Callithrix jacchus: one gene and its partners. The protein of the gene in region 5 interacts with the protein of the main gene of each other region in a biochemical or structural test. Links are inferred from orthologs where the notes say so. Each region holds a gene or a part of one and is shown on either strand. Other genes may lie near its edges.

Evidence for each region.
Region 1: of the proteins of MAPK14 (region 5) and MBP, one has a biochemical effect on the other in vitro, tested with the Homo sapiens proteins (4 studies listed by BioGRID). The link is inferred for Callithrix jacchus from reciprocal best matches to the Homo sapiens genes MAPK14 and MBP.
Region 2: of the proteins of MAPK14 (region 5) and MEF2A, one has a biochemical effect on the other in vitro, tested with the Homo sapiens proteins (2 studies listed by BioGRID). The link is inferred for Callithrix jacchus from reciprocal best matches to the Homo sapiens genes MAPK14 and MEF2A.
Region 3: of the proteins of MAPK14 (region 5) and RB1, one has a biochemical effect on the other in vitro, tested with the Homo sapiens proteins (3 studies listed by BioGRID and IntAct). The link is inferred for Callithrix jacchus from reciprocal best matches to the Homo sapiens genes MAPK14 and RB1.
Region 4: the proteins of MAPK14 (region 5) and DUSP10 form a complex in vitro, tested with the Homo sapiens proteins (2 studies listed by BioGRID, with this or other methods). The link is inferred for Callithrix jacchus from reciprocal best matches to the Homo sapiens genes MAPK14 and DUSP10.

The regions. Positions count from the first base shown.
Region 1 is NC_133514.1:119,560,667-119,565,295, reverse strand, and holds the start of MBP (myelin basic protein), read left to right. Parts: upstream 1-1,628; 5' UTR 1,629-1,812; intron 1,813-4,629. UniProt on the Homo sapiens protein: The classic group of MBP isoforms (isoform 4-isoform 14) are with PLP the most abundant protein components of the myelin membrane in the CNS. They have a role in both its formation and stabilization.
Region 2 is NC_133507.1:10,022,030-10,026,170, reverse strand, and holds part of MEF2A (myocyte-specific enhancer factor 2A), read left to right. Parts: intron 1-270; coding exon 271-402; exon of another isoform or gene 403-467; coding exon 468-605; coding exon of another isoform or gene 606-617; intron 618-3,656; coding exon 3,657-3,876; intron 3,877-4,141. UniProt on the Homo sapiens protein: Transcriptional activator which binds specifically to the MEF2 element, 5'-YTA[AT](4)TAR-3', found in numerous muscle-specific genes. Also involved in the activation of numerous growth factor- and stress-induced genes.
Region 3 is NC_133502.1:67,484,379-67,488,519, reverse strand, and holds part of RB1 (retinoblastoma-associated protein), read left to right. Parts: intron 1-717; coding exon 718-822; intron 823-1,917; coding exon 1,918-2,031; intron 2,032-2,132; coding exon 2,133-2,296; intron 2,297-4,141. UniProt on the Homo sapiens protein: Tumor suppressor that is a key regulator of the G1/S transition of the cell cycle. The hypophosphorylated form binds transcription regulators of the E2F family, preventing transcription of E2F-responsive genes.
Region 4 is NC_133520.1:6,883,032-6,887,649, forward strand, and holds the start of DUSP10 (dual specificity protein phosphatase 10), read left to right. Parts: upstream 1-1,520; 5' UTR 1,521-1,629; intron 1,630-2,439; exon of another isoform or gene 2,440-2,602; intron 2,603-3,798; 5' UTR 3,799-3,841; coding exon 3,842-4,618. UniProt on the Homo sapiens protein: Protein phosphatase involved in the inactivation of MAP kinases. Has a specificity for the MAPK11/MAPK12/MAPK13/MAPK14 subfamily. It preferably dephosphorylates p38.
Region 5 is NC_133505.1:44,389,586-44,393,726, forward strand, and holds part of MAPK14 (mitogen-activated protein kinase 14), read left to right. Parts: intron 1-813; coding exon 814-928; intron 929-1,512; coding exon 1,513-1,584; intron 1,585-4,141. UniProt on the Homo sapiens protein: Serine/threonine kinase which acts as an essential component of the MAP kinase signal transduction pathway.

The DNA of each region.
Region 1 (4,629 bases), on a different chromosome or scaffold from region 5:
ACACTCTATCCCAACAAAATATGCACGGTGCAATTTTATAACTACTTTAAAAAAAGACTTTTAACTGGAACGTGTGGAGCCTGCCGTTTGCAGAGCTGACTGTTGGCGTATGTAATGTTTCAGGAAACCACTGAAACCCCAGCAGAAAGAGCACAGAACAGAAGGCCGCCTGCTGCTGCTGTCACTGTGGTCTGAGGGACGCTCCAGTGCCCAGAGCCCAGCTGCAGGGACATCAGCAGGCAGGAAGGTGGCTCCGCCTGTGGAGTCACGGAGATAAAGCCAAGAGATATTTTGGAGAAGAAAAGCTGTTTCTGATGTTAAAGCAGGTATCCAAAATAGGACCCAGTGTTCCAGCTTCCCGGCCTGGGCTTGAGTGACTTGAGCTGGGACCCGGGTGCACCTGCATTCACTGTCACCACCCGTGCTCCTAGGGCAGCTGTCCAGCCTCCCACACCCACTCGCTCATCCTTGACTTAAAGTGAGGTTGTGGGGACGGAAAAATCCGAGAAGCACACTTTACCTCTGACACCCTTTTCCCTGCCCCTTCTCACCTTCAGCCTCAAATTCCTAGAACCCTCCTGCCCTCTCCACTTGAAAATCTCTCCTGAGGAAAGGCCCAGACTAAATGCTTTGTACCATCGTCTAAATATTTCTCTTCAGTTAAGCAGCATTTGAACACAGTTGCTAAATCTTCCGGGTCTTCCGGGGAGGCTGGTTTTAGGCCGCAACCCCGACCCCCGCTGGAGCCGCCTCGCAGCGCGGCCCGGACAGCGCTCAGTCCTCTCCCTCACCTCCTGACGAACTGTGGGTCCCAGGCTGCCTCCGGAAGCCCCGGGTCCAGATCCCTGAGTGGGGGTGCAGGTCAGGAGGAATGCGGGGGCTCATTCGGGGACTCCCCACCTCCTCCTCCTCCTCCATCAGGTGACCGAGAATCCAGGGAAAGATCTCCCTGACCACCAACTGTGTGTGCAGGTCAGTTTTTCTGTTTAACAGTAGAGTGACGAAGACCACGACGCCTCCGTGCCGCGGGACCAGGCGGCTTCCCCGCACCTGGCGCGTTTGGCTGTCTTGTCCGCGCGGACTTCCTGCGCCCCTCCTGCAGGCGAAGGTGCGCTCCCGGCGCCCAGCGGAGCACCTGCCGGCCGCAGGTGGGCCTGGGCGGGGCTGCAGGGGAGGGAGGGCGCGCCTGGGAGGACCTGCCCGCTCCTCCCGCCTCCAGGGCGGGCTGACCCTCCTCCTGCAGGGTCGGGGCCGCGCCAAGTCCTTCAGCAGTTTCTGGGGTTTCCAGCCCCTGAGGACAAGGGGAGATGCGGCCTCGCTCCCCTCCGGCAAGGTCGGGGTCCGGGTGAGTTCGGAGGCCGAGCCACGGGGGAAGGGTCTCGGGCGAGGCTCCAGGCCGCCCCTTCTCCGAGGCCCGACCCTGAGCGTGAATCCCGTGCGACCCCCCCCCCCGGCTCCGAACTCCGCGTGGGCAAAGCGGGCCCGGGGGCCTCGGAGCTTCCCGGGAGGCCGCGTCGGGGGTGGGGGGACGGGCCCGGCGGGCTGGGCCTGTGTTTACCTGGCGCGCAGGAAGCCCGGGGAGGCGGGGCCGGGAGCGGAGTGCGCGCCCGTCCCTCGGAGCCGCCTTCAGTCTCCGCCGCCGCGCACCCGCGAGAAGCCGCCTCCCGCCCCGGCGGCCTAGGGCTCCCGACCCCGGAAGGCGGTGCAGGCTGTCTGGGGACCCCGCGAGCCGGCGCTTGAAGCCGGGACCTGCGCGCCCGGGCCTGGGACCCCGCGGCACCCCTCGGCCTCTGAGCAGCGAGCGCAGCGCCGGTGAGTGACCCTCGGGGGCGGGTGGGGGGCGGCTCTGGCGCCTTTGTCTCCGCGCCCCTCCGAGCGGGGACCGCGGAGACCTGGGCGGGTACCCGGGGCCGATCCCCGCGGGAGCCGTGGACTGAGAGTTGGGAACAGGAGCTGTCCCGGCGCCCGGACTCCGAGTCCCTTTCTCGGCCGAGAACGCGCAGGGGGAACCTGGGCAGTAGCGCAGGTGACCGGGCAGGTGGCAGCCGGGGGCCCCTGACCCGAACCCACGGCCCTGTCCCCGATCTCTACTGCGAGGGGGCGGGCGCGGGTGTAGACTCGGGTTTACTGCGCCGGGGTGGGATCCTGACAGGTGTCCAGGGTGGTCTTCAGCCAGGCCCGGCGTCCCGGGGTCGTAGAAACCGCTGGGCCTCGGGCCCCGGGGCTGAGGGGAGGAGTCTCGGGTGGGAGGGACGGCGGTCAGAAGCGGCCACTCAGGTGCGGAGAGGGTGCGGGCGGCGAGGGCGCGCTGGGGGGTCCTCCGGGCGCCTGCCAATCACGTCCCGGCTGCTCCCCCCCGAGGTGAAGCGCAGTTTCCCTCCGAACTCCGAGAGCGGCGGCGAGAGCCTGGGTTTGGGCTTCCGCCTTCTCGCGGCCTGTCTCGGGCTCCTCGGCTGGCCAGTCGCTGCGCCCACCTGGACCCACGTGCGCGCCCGCAGCTGCCGGTCCTCCCTCGCGGTGCTGAGCGCTGGGCTCGCGGGGCCGGGGTCTCCCCGGCTGCCCCTCCCGGGCCCGACGGCCTGTCCTGGGCCGGGGGCGTGGGGTGCGGGGTGCCCCCGAGGCCGGCGTATGTGACCGCGCAGTCATTTGCCGCCACCCTAGGTCTTCCCGGGCGCCGGGGGCAGCGCCTGTGCCCTTTCGCGTCCACCTGAACCCCCTGTTTCGGGAGGTGGAGTGGGGCTCGGGAAGGGGTTCAAGTGTCTTTAGGGATCCCTGTGCGACTCTGCCTGGAAACAGGCGCGTTCTGGTTCCTTGTTCCGTTTTCCGATTGCAACAACGTGAGAATCAACAAGTGCTCGGCTTCTCTGCGGGTGGGTGAGGGGCGCGTGGCTCGCCCGGCTTTGGGAGGGCGTGGACTTCGTTCCTGGGAGGTCTCTGCCTCATCTTGACCGCAGAACGCCCCGCCTGGAGAGAGAGCTTTTCAGAGGAAGGAAAGGTCAGGGAACAGCCAGTGTGTGTTTTGGACATTTTATTTGGTGAAGCTCCGGGGGATGGGTTAAGGAGGGTCACGCTCATGTTAGGGACCACATGGATGGAGTAGGGTCCTGAACTGAGCTCCCTGGCGGCCACCTCCAGCGATGGGTGCCTCCTTAGCCTCCTTAGCGGTTGGGACCCCGGGCTATGGATACGGCTCAGAGCCTGGAACCCAGCAGCCCTTCAGTAGAGGAGGGAAGGCCATGATCTGAAACCAGGCCGGCAGCCAGGGAGGGGATGCTCCCACGAGCCAAGGGATAAGGCACCACGCCAGAGGCTTTTTTTTTTTTTTTTTTTTTTTTATCAAGTGGGTTAAACAGAAACCTGAGTGAAAAGAATCCAGTTAAAAATGGTTGTAAATGCTGGAATAACTCTCAGGGAGTTAACTGTTCTCGAACAACCACCTCTGTTAACTCCGGGTTAAACAAAGCTATTCTGTTGTCATCTTCTTTGAAAACTCTCCAGAAGTATCGCAATTCTGCCCAGCGATAAGGAAGTGAAACATGCGTCACTTGATATAGATCTGGCAGCTCGTGGCTCCAGCTTGATTTGAAACGTCCGCTTTGAGTGTGGTGGGTCCCGGCTGTGGGCACTGATGAAAGGTGGCCACCGAACGCTGGGGGGAAAAGAGACCAGCCTTTCTCCTGACGTTTCTATTTCTGCCTGAATTTGTAAATGTTAATTGTAAGTTATTTTGTTTGACTTTTATCCCCAAGTTCTTTAAAAATACAGAAATTATCTGGGCGTGGTGGCAGGTGCCTTAATCCCAGCTACTTGGGAGGCTGAGATCTCTCGAACTTGGGAGGTGGAGGTTATAGTGAGCTGAGACCATGCCATTACACTCCAGCCTGTACAACAAGAGCAAAATTCTGTCTCAAAATAAAAAATAAAAAAAAGACATGCTTAAGATTAGCAGCTGCCTCTGTGCCTTTTCTGACCCCAGGGAGTGTTTATCGAGCACTTGCACATTGCCAGGCTCTCTTCTGAGAGCTGTTTGTCACCTCAGTTAACAGTTGTGATGGCCCTAGATACCCTCATTGGAGGTCACCGTGCTTTTCATATCTTCATTTTGACTGATGAGGAAGCAAGGCCCAGAGAGGTTAAGTTAGTCTAAGGGCACCCAGGAAGAGGCAGGATTCTGCCCAGGGAGTCTGCACCAGCGCCTCACTGCTGCTCTGCCCCGCTGTGGTGAACAGAATGCCTTGCAAAGGTGCTTATCATTCCTCCTTTTAAACTTCCACCCCTAATGATGAGTGGCGTGCACCCAGGGATGTTTCCTTTCAAGAATCATTTGACCAAAAGGTTCCTGTCATCCAACTTTGTTCATGATCCTCTCCTTAGCTTTCTTAGTTGCCAATGAAAAAGAAAGTATTCTAATTACTAATTACTCTTTTTTTTTTTTTTGGACGGTGTCTTGCTCTGTTGCCTAGGCTGGAGTGCGGTAGTGTAGTCTCAGCTCACTGCAACCTCCACCTCCCAGGCCCAGGTGACTTTCCTGCCTCCGCTTCCTGAGGAGCTAGGACTACAGGTGTGCACCACCACACCTGGCTAACTGTTGTATTTTTTGTTTGTCCGTTTGTTTAGTAGAGACAGGGT
Region 2 (4,141 bases), on a different chromosome or scaffold from region 5:
TAATTTAGTATTTTAAGAAGTTTAGAAAGGAATAATTCAAACAAGTAAATGTTCCTTTTCTCTTAACGTGTACAATGGGAGAATTAATTTTACTTATATCTAATACTTAGCTTATTTGAAGAAGTAAATACATCTGTGAACATTTAGAAACCGTTCCAGTGGCTCTTGTATAATTCAATTCATTCCATCTGTGCTCTCTTAATAAATTTTACAGAAAAACTCTTGGCAAGTTAGCATTATTTGTGTGTGAATTTTCCAATTGTATTTCAGACTTTAAGAAAGAAAGGCCTTAATGGTTGTGAGAGCCCTGATGCTGACGATTACTTTGAGCACAGTCCACTCTCGGAGGACAGATTCAGCAAACTAAATGAAGATAGTGATTTTATTTTCAAACGAGGCCCTGTAAGTACTTTTACTTTACCTCTACTTTTTATTTGTTGATCCTTTTTGTTAACTTCATTATTTAGGCTCTGAACAAGAAGGAACACAGAGGGTGCGACAGCCCAGACCCTGATACTTCATATGTGCTAACTCCACATACAGAAGAAAAATATAAAAAAATTAATGAGGAATTTGATAATATGATGCGGAATCATAAAATCGCAGTGAGTACTAAAGTATGGTTTGTGCTTTTATCTTGTGCATGAAGAGATTGACCAAACATCTTGTTGCTCATTTTTTATAGTGGGTGATGACAAGAAGTAGAAGGGAAGAAAGGCATTTTATTAGTATTTTTTATAAAACTTTAAGGTAAAATTGCTGAAGTCGTCTTATACATGTTCAGCATTTTAAATGTAGAAGTGAAGAGAAAACATGCCGATACAGACTCTGCCACTTCTTACCCCCAATACCTTTGGATAGGGCACCTAAACATCTTGAATTCTTTCTTCATCTATAAAGTAAGTGAGTTGGCTCTCATGGTTTTTAAGGTATCTTCCAGCTCTAAAATTCTATGATTTATAATATAGAGTATGTCTAAAACTTTCCCTCTACTCCCATGACTCAAAACCTTACATGTTCTTAAATAGATCTTGAGAAAGCAAAAGGTAAGGTAGTCAGGTTTGTTGCAAAACTTTTTCCTAAATTATTTTTAATTATTTGGTATAGTTACTGCAATAGTAGTAGAGCTAAGCTTACTGCTTTGCTGTTTGTAAATGTCCCCAAATCACTTGGCAACAATGCCACCACTTCTGTTTTTTTTTTGTTTTTTTTTTTTGAGGCAGAGTCTTGCTCTGTTGCCAGGTTGGAGTGCAGTGGTGTGATCTCGGCTCACTGCAACCTCTGTCTCCCAGGTTCAAGCAATTCTCCTGCCTCAGCCTCCTGAGTAGCTGTGACTACAGGTGCACGCCACCACTCCCAAATTTTTGTATTTTTAGTAGAGGTGGGGTTTCACCGTGTTGACCAGGATGGTCTCCATCTCTTTACCTCATGATCCGCCCACCTCGGCCTCCCAAAGTGCTGAGATTCCAGGCGTGAGCCACCACACCCAGCCAAGTTTTGTTCTTTTCTTATGCTATAGATACTAAGGAAGAGCAGCCTGGCTTAATTTTAATTTAAGACAGCAGTGTTCTTAAATTGATTGCAAAACAAATAGTGACTTTACAATTTCTGTATACTCATTTATCTAACCATAGCAAAAGAGTATTTGTCTTTGAGCTCATGCTCCTAAGCTTGATAGTTCTTCAAAGAGTTCTCACTGGAAGCTCCATTGGCAAGAGCTACTTAAAATGGTTATTCTGGATCTAATTTTCTAATTCTGTATATGTAGGTCAACCTCCCTTAAACAAATTAGTTTCAATGCTGACATTTATTTTAACATCAGAGTTAATTCTCTCAAAACTATGCCCTAAAGTATGCAAGTATGCATGATCATTTCTTCATAGTAATTCTGTACTACAGGTTGAGTATCCCTTACCTGAAATGCTTGGGACTAGAAGTGTTTCAGATTTCGGATTTTTTTTTTTTCCTCAAAATTTGGAATATTTGCATATGTAATATCTTAGGGACAGGACCCAAGTCTAAACATTAAATTCCTTAATGTTTCATACACATAGCCTGAAGAAAGTTTTATACAATATTTTTCATAATTTTGTACATGGAACAAAGTTTGTGTACATGGAACATTGGAGAGCAAAGGTGTCACTGTCTCAGCTACCCCTGTTGTAGGTCTTGGCCCCGAGCATTATGGGAAACTGCTGTTAGCATGTGTAGCCTACACATGTGCCATTTGATTACCCTCTGTGGGTGTGCTTGTGTGAGGGAGTCTGAGCATGCACAGAAAAGATACATCGAAGCTGAAGGGAGACTGGAAGGGTCCTTTTCCCTTGGGGACACTGAATAAACTGTGTATGCCTTCATTTCCACACGTGATGTCAGGTGTGGAATTTTCTATTTGTGGCATCATGTTGGTGCTCAAAAAGTTATGGATTTTGGGTTTTCAAATTAGGGATGCTCAACCTATATAAGAAGCCAGCTCACAAAAAAATAGCTTTAAGGAGTTATTTTGGGGCAAATACCATTATTATTCTTAAAAACGCTTCAGTGGCAAATAAAATGATGTCGTTGACCTTGCGGTTAATGTTAAAGTTGCAAAGATATTGCACAAATAAAACTGTTTTACTTTTGAAAAAAATTGTCATATGCCCACTGTTTTTATATTTGTTGATGTATTATAATTTTTCTACATGAAATAAACTATTGAATAAAGTCCAATAAAATATATTCTTCCAACTTTGAATTAGCAGTGTTACCTTACTTTTGGATGTTAGTCTTTTAAAATGAGGGCAGAGTAAAGTTGTTTTATTTTCTCCCGCTTTAAATTATAAAGAGGAACATTATTTATCATGGTTAACAAGCATATTGTAAATGGTCTATGGAGGAAATGCAAGAGAAAAATAGAAAATATCCTTTTAAAGGGGATATGGAATAATTTAGAGGGAGGGAAGATTAGCATTTATAATATTTGTAATTTAATCTTCATATAATTTAAAGAAGATACCAAAAACTTTATTACTTTTATTACTGGCTTGGTTAGTAGTTAATTTTGTTGTTTAGATTAGGTTTCTTTGCATTTTCATTATACTCAAATTGCATTGTTATGTATATAATTACTTTTTTTTTTTTTTCTGGTTTTGCCCTTTAGAAAGTCAGTTAAATCAGAATGGGGCATATTTATAATTAATGAAATTTGACATATTAAGTTAACAACATGTGTACCCACTTTTCTCCTTCTATTATATTTGGGATCTCCCAATAGAAATGTAAAGTAATTAAGCTGGTTTGCATCAAAGTGCCAATTTATGCTTATTTGATGACTGATATATTTTGTAATGCCTAAATTTGACAACACTACTTTATTATCAGGTTCATCCTCTTATTTTTGTGTTTATGAATATTTGAGATACAGAATATATACATTATATTGTATTTATATATATTAATATATAGAACTATGAAATTGAAAAGGCTCATGTCAGGCATATTCATGTTCAAATATAATTCCAAAGAAAATAGCTTTAATCTGTAAACTGGTTATGAACCTATCCCTATCCTGTACTTTTAGTAACTTGAGTTACCTTGCCAAATTAAAGTTCATAAGTTACTTTGTAGATGAATATGAAACCAACAGTCTTTTCCTTCTTGTTCTTTATTTACAGCCTGGTTTGCCACCTCAGAACTTTTCAATGTCTGTCACAGTTCCAGTGACCAGCCCCAATGCTTTGTCCTACACTAACCCAGGGAGTTCACTGGTGTCCCCATCTTTGGCAGCCAGCTCAACATTAACAGATTCAAGCATGCTCTCTCCACCTCAAAGCACATTACATAGAAATGTGTCCCCCGGAGCTCCTCAGAGGCCACCAAGTACTGGCAATGCAGGTAGGTGGTGATACCTGTTCTGCTGGTTCTTTAATAAAGAGAGAGGAAAAACTCATTGCTAACATAAGCAGTTTCTTATTTTGCTATTCTTAATTTTATTGCTTTGATGAGCAGGAATCACGGCTACATAATTGGCTCCATTTTAAAGTATTTTTTTGAAAATCAATTGTGGGTGTAGCATTGTGTCATGCAAACTAGAGCAGTACTGAGAACCTGCCATTTATACGCTTTTCCTTCTCATGGGAAAGCCATACTCTGACAGGCA
Region 3 (4,141 bases), on a different chromosome or scaffold from region 5:
AGTAGAATGCCAAGCCAAAGATGATTTTTGGCATTCTTGCCAATAGTAGATGAGAGCAAGAATGTTGCAGAAGTAATGAGTACTTAAATTAGGCTATAAAGTTCATACAAATAAAGTCTGACATTTAAAGTCACAGGGAATCATTTTTAAATATCTTCTATTGAAATGTAATACACATATATAAAAACCTGCATCTCAAAAGGATACCTTCTAATGAAAATTCATCAACTAACTTAGTTATATAACCAACATCCAGATCAAGAAACAAAACATTGTCAACAACACATAAGACTCTCTTACATGCCCTTCCAGTCACCTTACCCTCACCACTACCACCAAGTATGTTCAATATTATCTGCTAGTTTGAAACATTTTAACACCTGGCTTTTTTAAGTGCTAGTTATGCAAAATTAACTGATTCTAGTTTCAACTTTTCTGGGAAACATTTAAGGGACAGGAGCCAAAGTTAGGGTAATTTACAAACCAGGTGATCAGTCCTAAATAATTGAGCCTTGGTCATTTGCATTTTGTTCTTTAAATACACTTTGGGTTAAACACTTCATGTAGAGTTTCAAATTGAGCTCAGTATGGAAAGAAATAACTATGTAGGAAATTAAACTTTTCTTTTTTGAGGCTAAAAGGAAGAAAACTATTTTTTTTTAGAGCAAAACCACATAATAAAATTCTGACTAGTTTTACATCATATTTATTTACTAGATTATGATGTGTTCCATGTATGGCATATGCAAAGTGAAGAATATAGACCTTAAATTCAAAATCATTGTAACAGCATACAAAGATCTTCCTCATGCTGTTCAGGAGGTAGGTGATTTTCCATAGTAAGTTTGATAAATCCATATCTGTAATAAAGATAATTTTATTCATTCACAGGCTCATATATTCTGATCTTATGTAAATTTACAAATAAAAATTTTTATATTATTTATTTGTAACTTAAATGCTTAAATGGAATTGGAAAGATAAGATAAATTATGAAATTATCCATATTCGTGGTTTTTTTATAAATTTAACAAGTAATGCTTTATCTGTGTAATAAGCAAGTATTTATAATAAACCTGGCATGAGTCATAGTACATTAGATGATCTTTTATTTTTATTACTTTATAGGAAAAGTCAGCATAAATGCAACCTTGCAAAGAAATAATAAATATGTTCAGTATAAACACATTTTGTATTTCTAAACACATTTACCTTCCCTTTAGAGAAACAGGAGTAGTAAAATATACTTGGTATGACACGTTTCATACGGTTCTGTGGAAAGTGAGTTGTGGGATATCTTTCCCATTTATTATTAGAGTTTTCAAAAGTAATACAAACCAAGTCATTTTTGTTTGTATGTTTGAAGTTATTTTAAATTCAATCATTTAAGTGTATAATGTGTCAGAGGCATTTGATATAACCTCTGTGTTTTTACCTAACTAAAATTTGAGTGAAATCTAACACTAAAATATAGTGCTTTTACTAAGTGTCTACTTCCTGCAATTGAGTAATGCTATTTAAACCCTTATAGAATGGGGCGATACAGGGAGGTACAGGCCAGAGGATATAGTCTAAATATTAATGGATAATGTCATTGGCTTTCACTTAGTTCTGGCCCTTTGATTCCCATAATGCTTTCCATTCTACCAGCCTGTCTACTCTCTCTTCTTGGATGGCCAGCTATTCCATCTGCTGCCTGGCTGTTTTTCTCAATAATCCTATGACATTTCGCTTCTAGTAGAGCATCTATAATTCAAACCTAAGAAGGCATTTTAGATTATTTTTTCCTGTATAATATGTGCTTCTTACCAGTCAAAAAGTTTTACAAACTTTTAGAAAAGAAAATCTAAAGGTAGAAATTTTAAAATTAATTTAACAAGTGAATTTTACTTTTTTTTTTTTACTCTTCTTCCTCAGACTTTCAAACGTGTTTTGATCAAAGAAGAGGAGTATGATTCTATTATAGTATTCTATAACTCAGTCTTCATGCAGAGACTGAAAACAAATATTTTGCAGTATGCTTCCACCAGGGTAAGTCAAAAGTATCCTTTGATTGGAAATATCTAATTATAAAGTAATGGGTCCCATTAAAACATTAAATAAATAATACTACTTTTTTGTTTTTGCTCTAGCCCCCTACCTTGTCACCAATACCTCACATTCCTCGAAGCCCTTATAAGTTTCCTAGTTCACCCTTACGGATTCCTGGAGGGAACATCTATATATCACCCCTGAAGAGTCCATATAAAATTTCAGAAGGTCTGCCAACACCAACAAAAATGACTCCAGGAACAAGGTGTGTGTATTTTCTCGTTAGAGAGGTAGTAAAGAATGAAAGGGGGATAATTTTGATCCAAGAATAAAAATACAACGCTTTCTTCATTTCAAATAAGCTAGACTCTTGAGTCTATTTGTTTATTTAAGTAACATAATGAGAATCTAGGGGGAAAGAAAATCTATTTACTTGGATGGGTTTACAAATTTAGTTATCAGATTTCCTGACTGCTAGGGGTATCTTCTTTTGTAAACAGTTTTTGAACCAGTTTGGTTATATGTTTCAAAACACTTTAATATTTTTGTAAGTAGTCAATCTGCTAAACAATGCAGGTTACTTTAGGTTGAGTACTTTTAGTTTGTAGTTTATTGGATGTCCTATAAATTTTGCTTCCTGTGGATTTTGTTCATTCTGCTGGTTATATTAAATGTAGATTACTGTCAATTAAGTCTTTAGAGGTCCATTCCTAATCCTGTTGGCAACCTCTTTACCACCTTACCTTGGGCAGGTCTCTATCTCTACTACACAAGGGTGCTGTGGATCAGCAAAATGATTAGTATGAAGCTGTTTTAAATTCTAAGATGAAAGGTTGTGTGCAACTATAAATCATTATATTATCTTCCCATCCAACCACAAGTGCTCTCTGGCTTTGAAGTGCTTCAGTTGACTAATTATATATTATCAGGGGCTATTTGAAACTGACTTTATTTGTGTAAAGTAGGAGGCAGATTAGCTAGTATAGTTAATGTAGTCTCATTTCAGAAATTGTCAGCCCATATGGTTGTCCCTCATGGACAAGAAAAGGGAGATATATTAGTCTTTTAGAAAATATTTGCATGGTATATTTAATTATTTAAGTAGTACATACTCATGGTAAAAATTGCAAACTCTACAGAAAAATATGAAGTAATAAATAACTGGCAATATGATACAAATGCTCTCATGTGCCTCTATATCATCCTTTATTTATTTGGTGTTCTTATAGTTGGATATCTGTGTACTGACTCCTTCTACTTGTTCCAAGCTGTTAAAATGCCACGTTATCTCTATATAAGAAAATTTACAGGCCGGGTGTGGTGGCTCACACCTGTAATCCAAGCACTTTGGAGGCCAAGGCGGGCGGATCACCTGAGGTTGTGAGTTCAAGACCAGTCTGACAAACATGGTGAAACCCCGTCTTTAAACAAAACAAAACAAAACAAACAAAACAAAAAAATTTATACAGTCCCATGCCACTGTATGAAAATGTATACTTAGGTAGTTTTTTAATAGTGATTATTAATCCATATTATGGTGATAATGATGGCTACTTCCTGATCCTTAGTGAAATCAATTGTGTTGTATTCTTTAGCAAAAAAGTCACATTCTGAACATTCTAACTAATAAATCATTGATCAGGCATTAGGAGAGCATTATATTTAGAATGATGACCACTTATCAAGGAATTGGAGGACAAAAAAAAACTTTATATGCACTAGTTCCATGTTCATGTTTTCAAATCTTTGTTGAGTCATGTCAAGCTAATGATGTTCTTCAGCTTTATTATCAAGAACATAACTTATATGGTTTAAATAAAGACAGACTAATAAAGATTTCTGACTATATATTTGATATATGATAACTAGCCTTTACTATACCAATATAGATGCTAATTAGAATTCTGATTATTAATATTCTAAGTTTTTGCCAAATATAACTTGAATTTTAAATGAGAAAATATGAAAGAAATTTGATAACTTACTCATTGATTTATGAAGAACTAAGTAGGGGTAAACTTGAAAATTTCCTTTGCTCTCCTTAAATATGGGGAATGGCAAAATATGTTCTTGCAGACCTATGGTTTTTGCTTTAAAACTAAGAGACCAG
Region 4 (4,618 bases), on a different chromosome or scaffold from region 5:
TTATTTCACTTTTTATCCCTTCCTCTCAGATAGAAGAAAAAGCTGGATTTCGTTAGGGTTCTGGATGAAGACTCTCCACAGTTCCTTTGGGCTTGTTCATCTCCACTTCTTTTTGTATCCCCGGGCAACTTTCCTGCAGCTTCCCCGATAGGAGTATTTTCCAGACCCGGCCCGGGGCGGCCTGCCCCGCCCCCACTGTCCCCCCGGGACGTGCGCTGAGGCCAGCTCTCCCGCTACCTCGGGCGGACCAAAGTCAGGGGAGGCGGGAGCCGCGGCGTCGCCTCCTCCACGCTGCTCTCACCCCGTTCAATCTGGCTATTTGCTCTCGGATCCGGCTGTTTGATGCCAGCTTAGGCTGGCCGTCCTGGGCTCGGCAGGGGCTCTGCGGGACGGAGGGGTGGCGCCCGAGGCCTGTGGGGCGGGTGGGCTGCGAGCGGCTGGCACGGCGCGGGGACCCAGCGCTCCAGGCGGGAAAGGGGGCGGCGGCCGGCTGGGACCAAGCCCCGGAGGCGCGGCGGGCGCGTGGCGGACCCGGGACGCCCGGCCGGGGGATTGGCCTCCGCACCGCTGCTCCCGGCGCGTCCCTCGTCGCCTCGGACGTCGACTCAGGCCTCTTCCTCCGAGCAGCCCTCAGTGGCGCAGCCTTAGTGCTCCGGGTCGAGCCCGGGGAGGAAAAGCCTGGGGACGGCAGGAGCGTGACCTGCGCGCCGAAGTAGGTGTGCGGGAGGGCGGCGCGCGGCGGTCAAGCCGGGGAGGCCGGAGGGGCAGCCGGAGGGGCAGCGACCTCTGCGGGCGGGCGGGCGGGAGGCGGACGCGCCGAGGCTGAAGGGCCTCCCTGTCCGGGACCGCCGGCTGCAGAACTCGGGCCCTCCGCGCGTGGGAGCAGAAGCGTCGCCCTGGCTGCGCGCTCACGACGACCCGGCGAGGTCCGCGAATCCTGGGTTAGGGTTTGTCAAGTCACCTCGAGCGACTCGGGGAGAACCCGGCTTTCCCACTAGGGGCGGTGATCGCAGTGTCTTTCCTTTAGAAAGTTACTCCGACACTTTGGATCATCCGTCCATAGCAAGGAGGAAAAGCAGAGAGCGTGGTTTGTCCCCGGGGAGGGAGCGTTGGAGGATCCCGTCCAGGGGGAGGAGCCAGCTTTAGCCGAGCGGCTCGTCCAGCCCGCGGGCGCTGCAGCCGGGTAAAGGGTTAACTGCATCCTGCCGGTTCGGTTTACATGTAAATAGAGAGCAGCTGCTCCGCGCGGCCCCGGCTGGCTCTTTTAAGTTTTTGATTGGTTGCCAATGACATCACCGCCCGTGTTATAACACAGAGGACCCAGAGCCGCGTCGGATAAGCCCTCCTTAAGGAGACGAGGCCACGCCTTCTTCCCCGCCCCCTAGGCTGCCCATTGGCCGAAGGGCTCTGTGAGGTAGCGGTCGGCTTTCCCCGGACTTTTATTGGTCCAACGCGCCGTCGGTCGGCGGCGGGCCCGCCCCCTCGGAACCTTACATTTACAGTGTAGCAAAAGAGAAAGTAACTATGTTGCTGCTGGAGATCAATGAAGCCAAGTGAATGGGGGCTGAATGTGCGAGTCCATAGCTGAAGCCGAGCGCCAGATGGTGGAGGGCTACACTTATTTATGAAGTAAGTTGGAAGTCACCGCCACTACTCCTGAGAGCCCGGGACTGGAAGTGGAGGAGTGTAAGGCAGTGCGTGTGTGTGTGTGTGTGTGAGTGTGAGTGTGTGTGTATGTGAGAGAGACAGAAATATAGAGAGGCGATGCTGACGGAGGAGCCACAGCAGGTAGGGTTATAAGGTTCCGGCTGTTGGCTCCTGCTGCTCTGTGCGTTTACTCTCTCTGCAGTCTACTTGGATTTTGGGCGAAGAAAAAATGAGGTTTGTTGGGATGCTTTGCTGCAGTTTTAAATGCCCGGGGCTCATTAGCGCGCTGTGTGCCGAGGAGCGAAGGGGGAGCTGGGGGATGTTAAGTGCTCCAGGAGTGGGGAAGAAGGCTTCTCTTACCACTTAATTTTCTCTCCAGTGGTGGAAGGGAGAGGGGATAGCTCAGTATTTCTCTGGGAGATTTTTCTGAGCCAGACTGGTTGGTTTCACAGGCGATATATACGCCCGACCCTATGCTGCAGGGATGCAGATCTCTATACACTCGGGGTGTGTGTGTGTGTGTGTGTGTGTGTGCCGCGCACTCTGTGTGAAAGTGGGGGTCCCAGCGTGTGTCTCTGTGAACACGCTTATGCTTCTCTCTCAAAAGAAATGGGCTGTTGATCCTGGACGTGCCCTACCAGGTAACACAATAGCGAAGACTTTCGCTGCTTGGTCCAGCCTGGAAACAGTTATAGCTTCTGGAATAGTACTCGCTCTTCAGAAAAAATACTACGCAAGGGAGGGAGGGGGTTGGATCCTTCGCTCCCATCCAAAGGTGGGTGAGAGAAACCTGAGTCGGTGGAGATCTGCCGACGTGATGGGTGCGTGCCCCCGTGTGCGCGCGTGAGTGTGGATTCCGTCTGTGACACTTTGGTTCTATGTCAGAGAATGGGACGGTCGTGTGTAGACAAATGCTAGATGGCATTTTTCCAGATAGCTCTTAAAGTTCGTTTAGGTGAGTGGCTCTTGCATGATGTTTGCTGTCTTTGCTGTGTGTATGCCTAATAGAAGAAGAGTTAGCAAGCCCGGGTCGTAGAGTGTCCCTCTGCCTACAGGAGGAAGGAGCTGTCTTTTTGCAGACACTCTTTGAAATCAGAGATAGATCCCATGGGCAACAATTCACTGCCCCTTTCAACGGGCACAGGCTAATTGGGAAGCCCTCTTTATGGCATCAGTACTCTTTAAGGGGGGATATCTATCTGTATGGAATTGAAACCTTATACAACGTGTCTGCCTCCCATTGAGAGAAGCTCTAGGATGCACAGTCTGTGCCAGCCGGAAAGATGAAGAGGGGAGAAGAGCCCAAGTTGTCCTTTCCAGGCAGGAGTGAGGGTGGGGGTAGGTGGGGGTAGGTGGGGGAGCAAAGCGTGATGGATTTGCTGGGGTTGGTGTTTCCAGATCTGGCTTCATGGCTTAAGATTTCGTTTTGGGACACTAGTTAGTAGTCAAAAAAGGGAAATGCAGATTAATTCATAAGAGGCCAAAGGAAAATATGTGAGGTTTTAAAATGACTATGTTGTGCTTTTCAAAGGACCTCAATAGAATGGAAGGCAAAAATAGCTCCAGGTTAAGGAGATTCACTTAAGGGGATCCTTTTATTTGATTTGCAGAAAGTTGACATCCACCCTGATGTATATTTAGCTGCTGTACATTTCTGTCAGCCACGCCAGTGCTCTTGATTATCCCTTTGCCTTTGAAGCAAGTGAGGGAATTAAATAATGGCAAACATGCAAGGGTGGACAAATGGGTCTTTCTCAGATGTTTGTAGTGTACTTCTTCCCAAGAGCTGAGGTTCAGAATAGACGCCTCTTAAGAATCTTCCCTTCTGTCTTCAGCTTTTCTAATTATTTGTGCTTTTACCTTCTCTACAGCTGAACTTTTATGTAGGTCCAGGAAAGGTTGTTCATTAACATTTACAGCATTACATCCAAATTTAACCTTAGACTTAGCAACCAAATAGATTGGGGCCCTCGGATTTGCATCCTCTTTGAATACATAAAAATGAGTTTCAAGTTTTGACAGTGGTATGATAAAGGGCAACTAGGACAACTTTGCTCAGCAGGATACAACGGCTTTTCCTAGGGATTGGATGAGACTGCCTTTTGTGTCACGTGACTTTATTCTTTCTTTTCCCCTTCCCCTTCTTTACAGACTGTCTTGAGTTCTTCTTGAATTGCCAGTTTTCAGCCTCCTCATGCCTCCGTCTCCTTTAGACGACAGGGTAGTAGTGGCACTATCTAGGCCCGTCCGACCTCAGGATCTCAACCTTTGTTTAGACTCTAGCTACCTTGGCTCTGCCGCCCCAGGCAGTAACAGCCACCCTCCTGTCATCGCCACCACCGTTGTGTCCCTCAAGGCTGCGAATCTGACGTATATGCCCTCATCCAGCGGCTCTGCCCGCTCTCTGAATTGTGGATGCAGCAGTGCCAGCTGCTGCACTGTGGCAACCTACGACAAGGACAATCAGGCCCAAACCCAAGCCATCGCCGCTGGCACCACCACCACTGCCATCGGAACCTCTACCACCTGCCCTGCTAACCAGATGGTCAACAATAATGAGAATACAGGCTCTTTAAGTCCATCAGGTGGGGTGGGCAGCCCTGTGTCAGGGACCCCCAAACAGCTAGCCAGCATCAAAATAATCTACCCCAATGACTTGGCAAAGAAGATGACCAAAGGCAGCAAGAGTCACCTGCCAAGTCAGGGTCCTGTCATCATTGACTGCAGGCCCTTCATGGAGTACAACAAGAGTCACATCCAAGGAGCTGTCCACATTAACTGTGCCGATAAGATCAGCCGGCGGAGACTGCAGCAGGGCAAGATCACTGTCCTAGACTTGATTTCCTGTAGGGAAGGCAAGGACTCTTTCAAGAGGATCTTTTCCAAAGAAATTATAGTCTATGATGAGAATACCAATGAGCCGAGCCGAGTGATGCCCTCCCAGCCACTTCACATAGTCCTCGAGTCCCTG
Region 5 (4,141 bases):
CAAGTGATTCTCCTGCCTCAGCTTCCCGAGTAGCTGGGACTACAGGGGCATGCCACCACGCCTAGCTAATTTTGTATTTTTAGTAGAGACAGGGTTTCACCATGTTGGCCAGGATGGTCTCCATCTCCTGACCTTGTGATCCACCCTCCTTGGCCTCCCAAAGTGCTGGGATTGCAGGCATAAGTCACCGCTCCTGGCCAAGAACATTTCTGTTACTTTAAAAAGTCTGTTGTGCTCCTTCCTAGTCAATCCCCACCCTTCCACCCCTAATTCTCGCTCAAAGCAACTATGGATCTGCTTCTAACACTATGATTCGTTTTATCTTTTCTGGAGTTTCATGTACATGGAATCATATAGTGTGTATTTTTGTGTATCTAGCCTTTGCTTAGTGTAATGATTCTGTATTGTTGTGTCAATGTTTTTTTCCTTTTTATTGCTAATAGTATTTTGTTTTATGAACATGTCAGGATTTTTAAATCTGTCCACCTGCTGATGGACATTTGCTTTAGTTTGACTATGAGGCTATGTAAAGCAACTGTGAATATTCATGTGCAAACCTTTGTATGGCCATAAGTTCTCATTGCGCTTGATTAAATACCAAGGAGTGACATTTTTGTTTTGCTTTTTGTAATTCAGTTTTTTGAGTTTTCACTGTAAGTTTACCATGCACTCTAAGCATGGACCAGGAAATCTCTTTATAAAAGTGCTATCTTGTTTTCCTTTTTAAAAAGGCAACAGAGTTGTTGTTGTTGTTGTTTTCCCCTGCCTGTTTATAAGTCTTAACAGTTTGTCTGTTCCTCTTCTGCCCTTTAGATCCTGGATTTTGGACTGGCTCGGCACACAGATGATGAAATGACAGGCTACGTGGCCACTAGGTGGTATAGGGCTCCTGAGATCATGCTGAACTGGATGCATTACAACCAGACAGGTATTACTTGCACTGGTTATTTAGGGCCTTATTTAATTCTATGTTGGATGCATTTGGGATTCTCAGAAGTAGAGATTATGGGAGGGGAGAGAAATATCTTTTCTTTCCTCAGTGATCCTTTTAAAGCCTACAGGTGAAAACATTTCACTTGCTCAGATGGGGAATTGGGGTTTTATATACAGCTTTTAAAGCTCGTGATTTAGCAACTGGGTTTTTATTTATTTAGATTTTGAATTTATTCTCTGAGTATTTATACCTGAAGACAAAGAGTCCATAATTTTAACCCCTCAATATTACTTGGAAGAATCTACCATTCTTTTGCTCCTTTTTTGAACAGCTTATTTCTCCTTTTTTTTTTTTTTTTTATTTCTCTTAAGTATGTTTTGACTTACCCCACCTTTGAACAGCCCTTTAGTGGGGTAAAGATCAAGCTCATTTATTTCTGTAAAAATGAGAATGATTGTTGAGGCTCAGAGGTTTTAAATAGTAATTTGAGTATTTCACTCCTAGTTATGGTTTTATTTGTTGCCAAGTATAATAACAGTGACATCACATGTACTTTTATTTCTCTTTAATATTGCCAGTTGATATTTGGTCAGTGGGATGCATAATGGCCGAGCTGTTGACTGGAAGAACATTGTTTCCTGGCACAGACCGTATCCTTTAAAAAGTTTTGGATTCTTGTTTCTTATTTGTATTCTGGTGTCCATGGATGTATACTCCTTTTACTTATCTCTAGGGAAGGCTCTCAGTTTTTTGCTTTTATAGTCCAGATAATATGTTATGAGGTCTCCCTTCTTACTGAGTAGCTTGCCCTGCCAAGAAAGAGGCTTCAGTTTACTTTCATGAGTTGGAAAAAATTCCTCCTAAGCTGAAAAACCCTTCAAATCTGTCATCTTTTTGCAACAAACCCTTATTAATCATCCCACAGTGGTTCTGAGACCTGAGCATACTCATGAAAAGCTCTGGATCCCAATGACAGGTTTAGTTTACTTGTATAAACACTTAATGAGTACAAGATACCCATTTATAATTAAAGGGTGTCTTGCTATTATGTTTGTTTTATGTATCAAAAAGGCTATGTTTGGTACCTGCAATGATATATTGTTTATTTGTTATGTTTGTTTTTTGACAACAAATAGTAAAAGCAAGAAGTGACAAGGTTACCCTGTCATGTGCTTTTTTTTTTTCCCAGCACAACTTTATCTCAGATGGCAGCCAAACCAATTAATTTACTCCCAGACTTACCGTCTAGTTTATGGTTTATTATATAGCCCCTTTATTTTAGCTCCTTTTCTATCTGCAGTATGCTTGTTTCATGGTTTAGTAATAATGTCATGAAAATGTGATTTATTGGAACTCTCATCAGTTCTACTTATGGAAGATGTTTAGGTAAGAAAGAATGTTAAAACATATGTCTAGAATTAGTTTTGGGGATTTTTTTTTTAAATATAATTGAGTTAACTAGCCTTCAAGTGGTTTTGGTTGGGCTGTTAGATATGCTACAATTACTTCCGATCTATTATGCCTAGAGATGTAAAAGCCATTTTAGTCCCTTACCTAAATAAATGGATGAGTTTATAAACCAGAATGTCAGTTCACTTTGCTCACAGTTTGGGATATACTTCTATAATGACTATGATGTCCATGATACCTACCCCTGTGTTCTGTCTTCTGCCACAGAGAATGTACTTTCATTATGAACTGAAAAAAACCTCTATTTCTTAGGTAAAGCTGTTTCTTTCTCTCTGAATGTTACTGGATTGATACAGACTCCCTGTACTTCAGGCTCCCTGTACTTAGCTTACCTTATTACTCCCTACCTCTGGATTTTAAGTTAGTTTAATACCTGGTATTTCTCCTTTGTCCTTTGCTTCCTTCACCTTATATCTGTTTCTTGGAAATTTGGTATGTATGTGTGTGCATATATATATGTGTGTATATATATATATATATGTGTGTGTGCGTGTATATATATATGTGTATGTACACACACACACACACACACACACACACACACACACATATTACACTCCAAGGTAAGAGAATTAGGGAAAATTTATACTTCCCCCTTTCCTCAGGTACTTATCTCAGAGTCCTATCCTTGGTTTGTCCTCTGGAATAGCTGCTATCCTGATGCTATTCCCTGTTCCCTCCTCCCTTTCCTTTTTTTGTGTCTGTATCTCCAGCTACCCATTCAGTCAGTCACAGACCTCCATGCCTGTGTAGACACAGAAGGTGGCAAAGGGAGAAAGACTGTATAGCATACAGGTTAAGCACATGCTCTGGAGCCAGACTTCCTGGGTTTAGATCTTAGCTCTTTTATTTCCAGCTATGTAACTTTGAGCAAGTTTTCTAACCTCTGTGCCTCTCAGTTTCCTTAACCATAAAATGATAATAATCATACGTACTCACAAGGTTGTTGTAAGAATTCAGCCAGATAATAACTGGAAAGTAGCCGGGCGCGGTGGCTCACGCCTGTAATCCCAGCACTTTGGGAGGCCGAGGTGGGTGGATCACGAGGTCAAGAGATCGAGACCATCCTGGTCAACATGGTGAAACCCCGTCTCTACTAAAAATACAAAAAATTAGCTGGGCATGGTGGCGTGGTGAGCCGAGATCGCGCCATTGCACTCCAGCCTGGGTAACAAGAGCGAAACTCCGCCTCAAAAAAAAAAAAAAAAATAACTGGAAAGTACTGAGACAAGCCTGCCAGTAAATGTTAGCCATCATCTTCAGTAATGACCTTTGCAAAACATTACCCCTACACCTCCCACTGTATTGTCTACCTATGAATCATTAATGGTCTTTTGTTTGTTTGTTTTGACAGGTAGGAAAGGATGGGTCCCTTGGCAGACTAGTGTTAAAAAGTTTTCAAAGCAATGTTGGTCTTATGCCCTTATGGTTCCGTCTCACAGGCAGCTAGCTGTCTATTCCCTGATGGCATGACCTTTTTAATTTTTAAACGCTAACTTTCTGCCCGAAGGAAGTCTTCCTTTTGTGCCTATATCTTTTTCTTCTGTGAGCTAGTGTTTAAACTAGCTAGTGTTTAAACTTTTTAATAGGGGATTCATTTTTTTTTTTTTTGAGACAGAATCTCACTCTGTCACCAGGTGCCAGGCTGGAATGCAGTGGTGCGATCTCGGCTGACCGCAACCTCCGCCTCCCAGGTTCAAGCAATTCTCCTGCCTCAGCCTCCCGAGTAGCGGGACT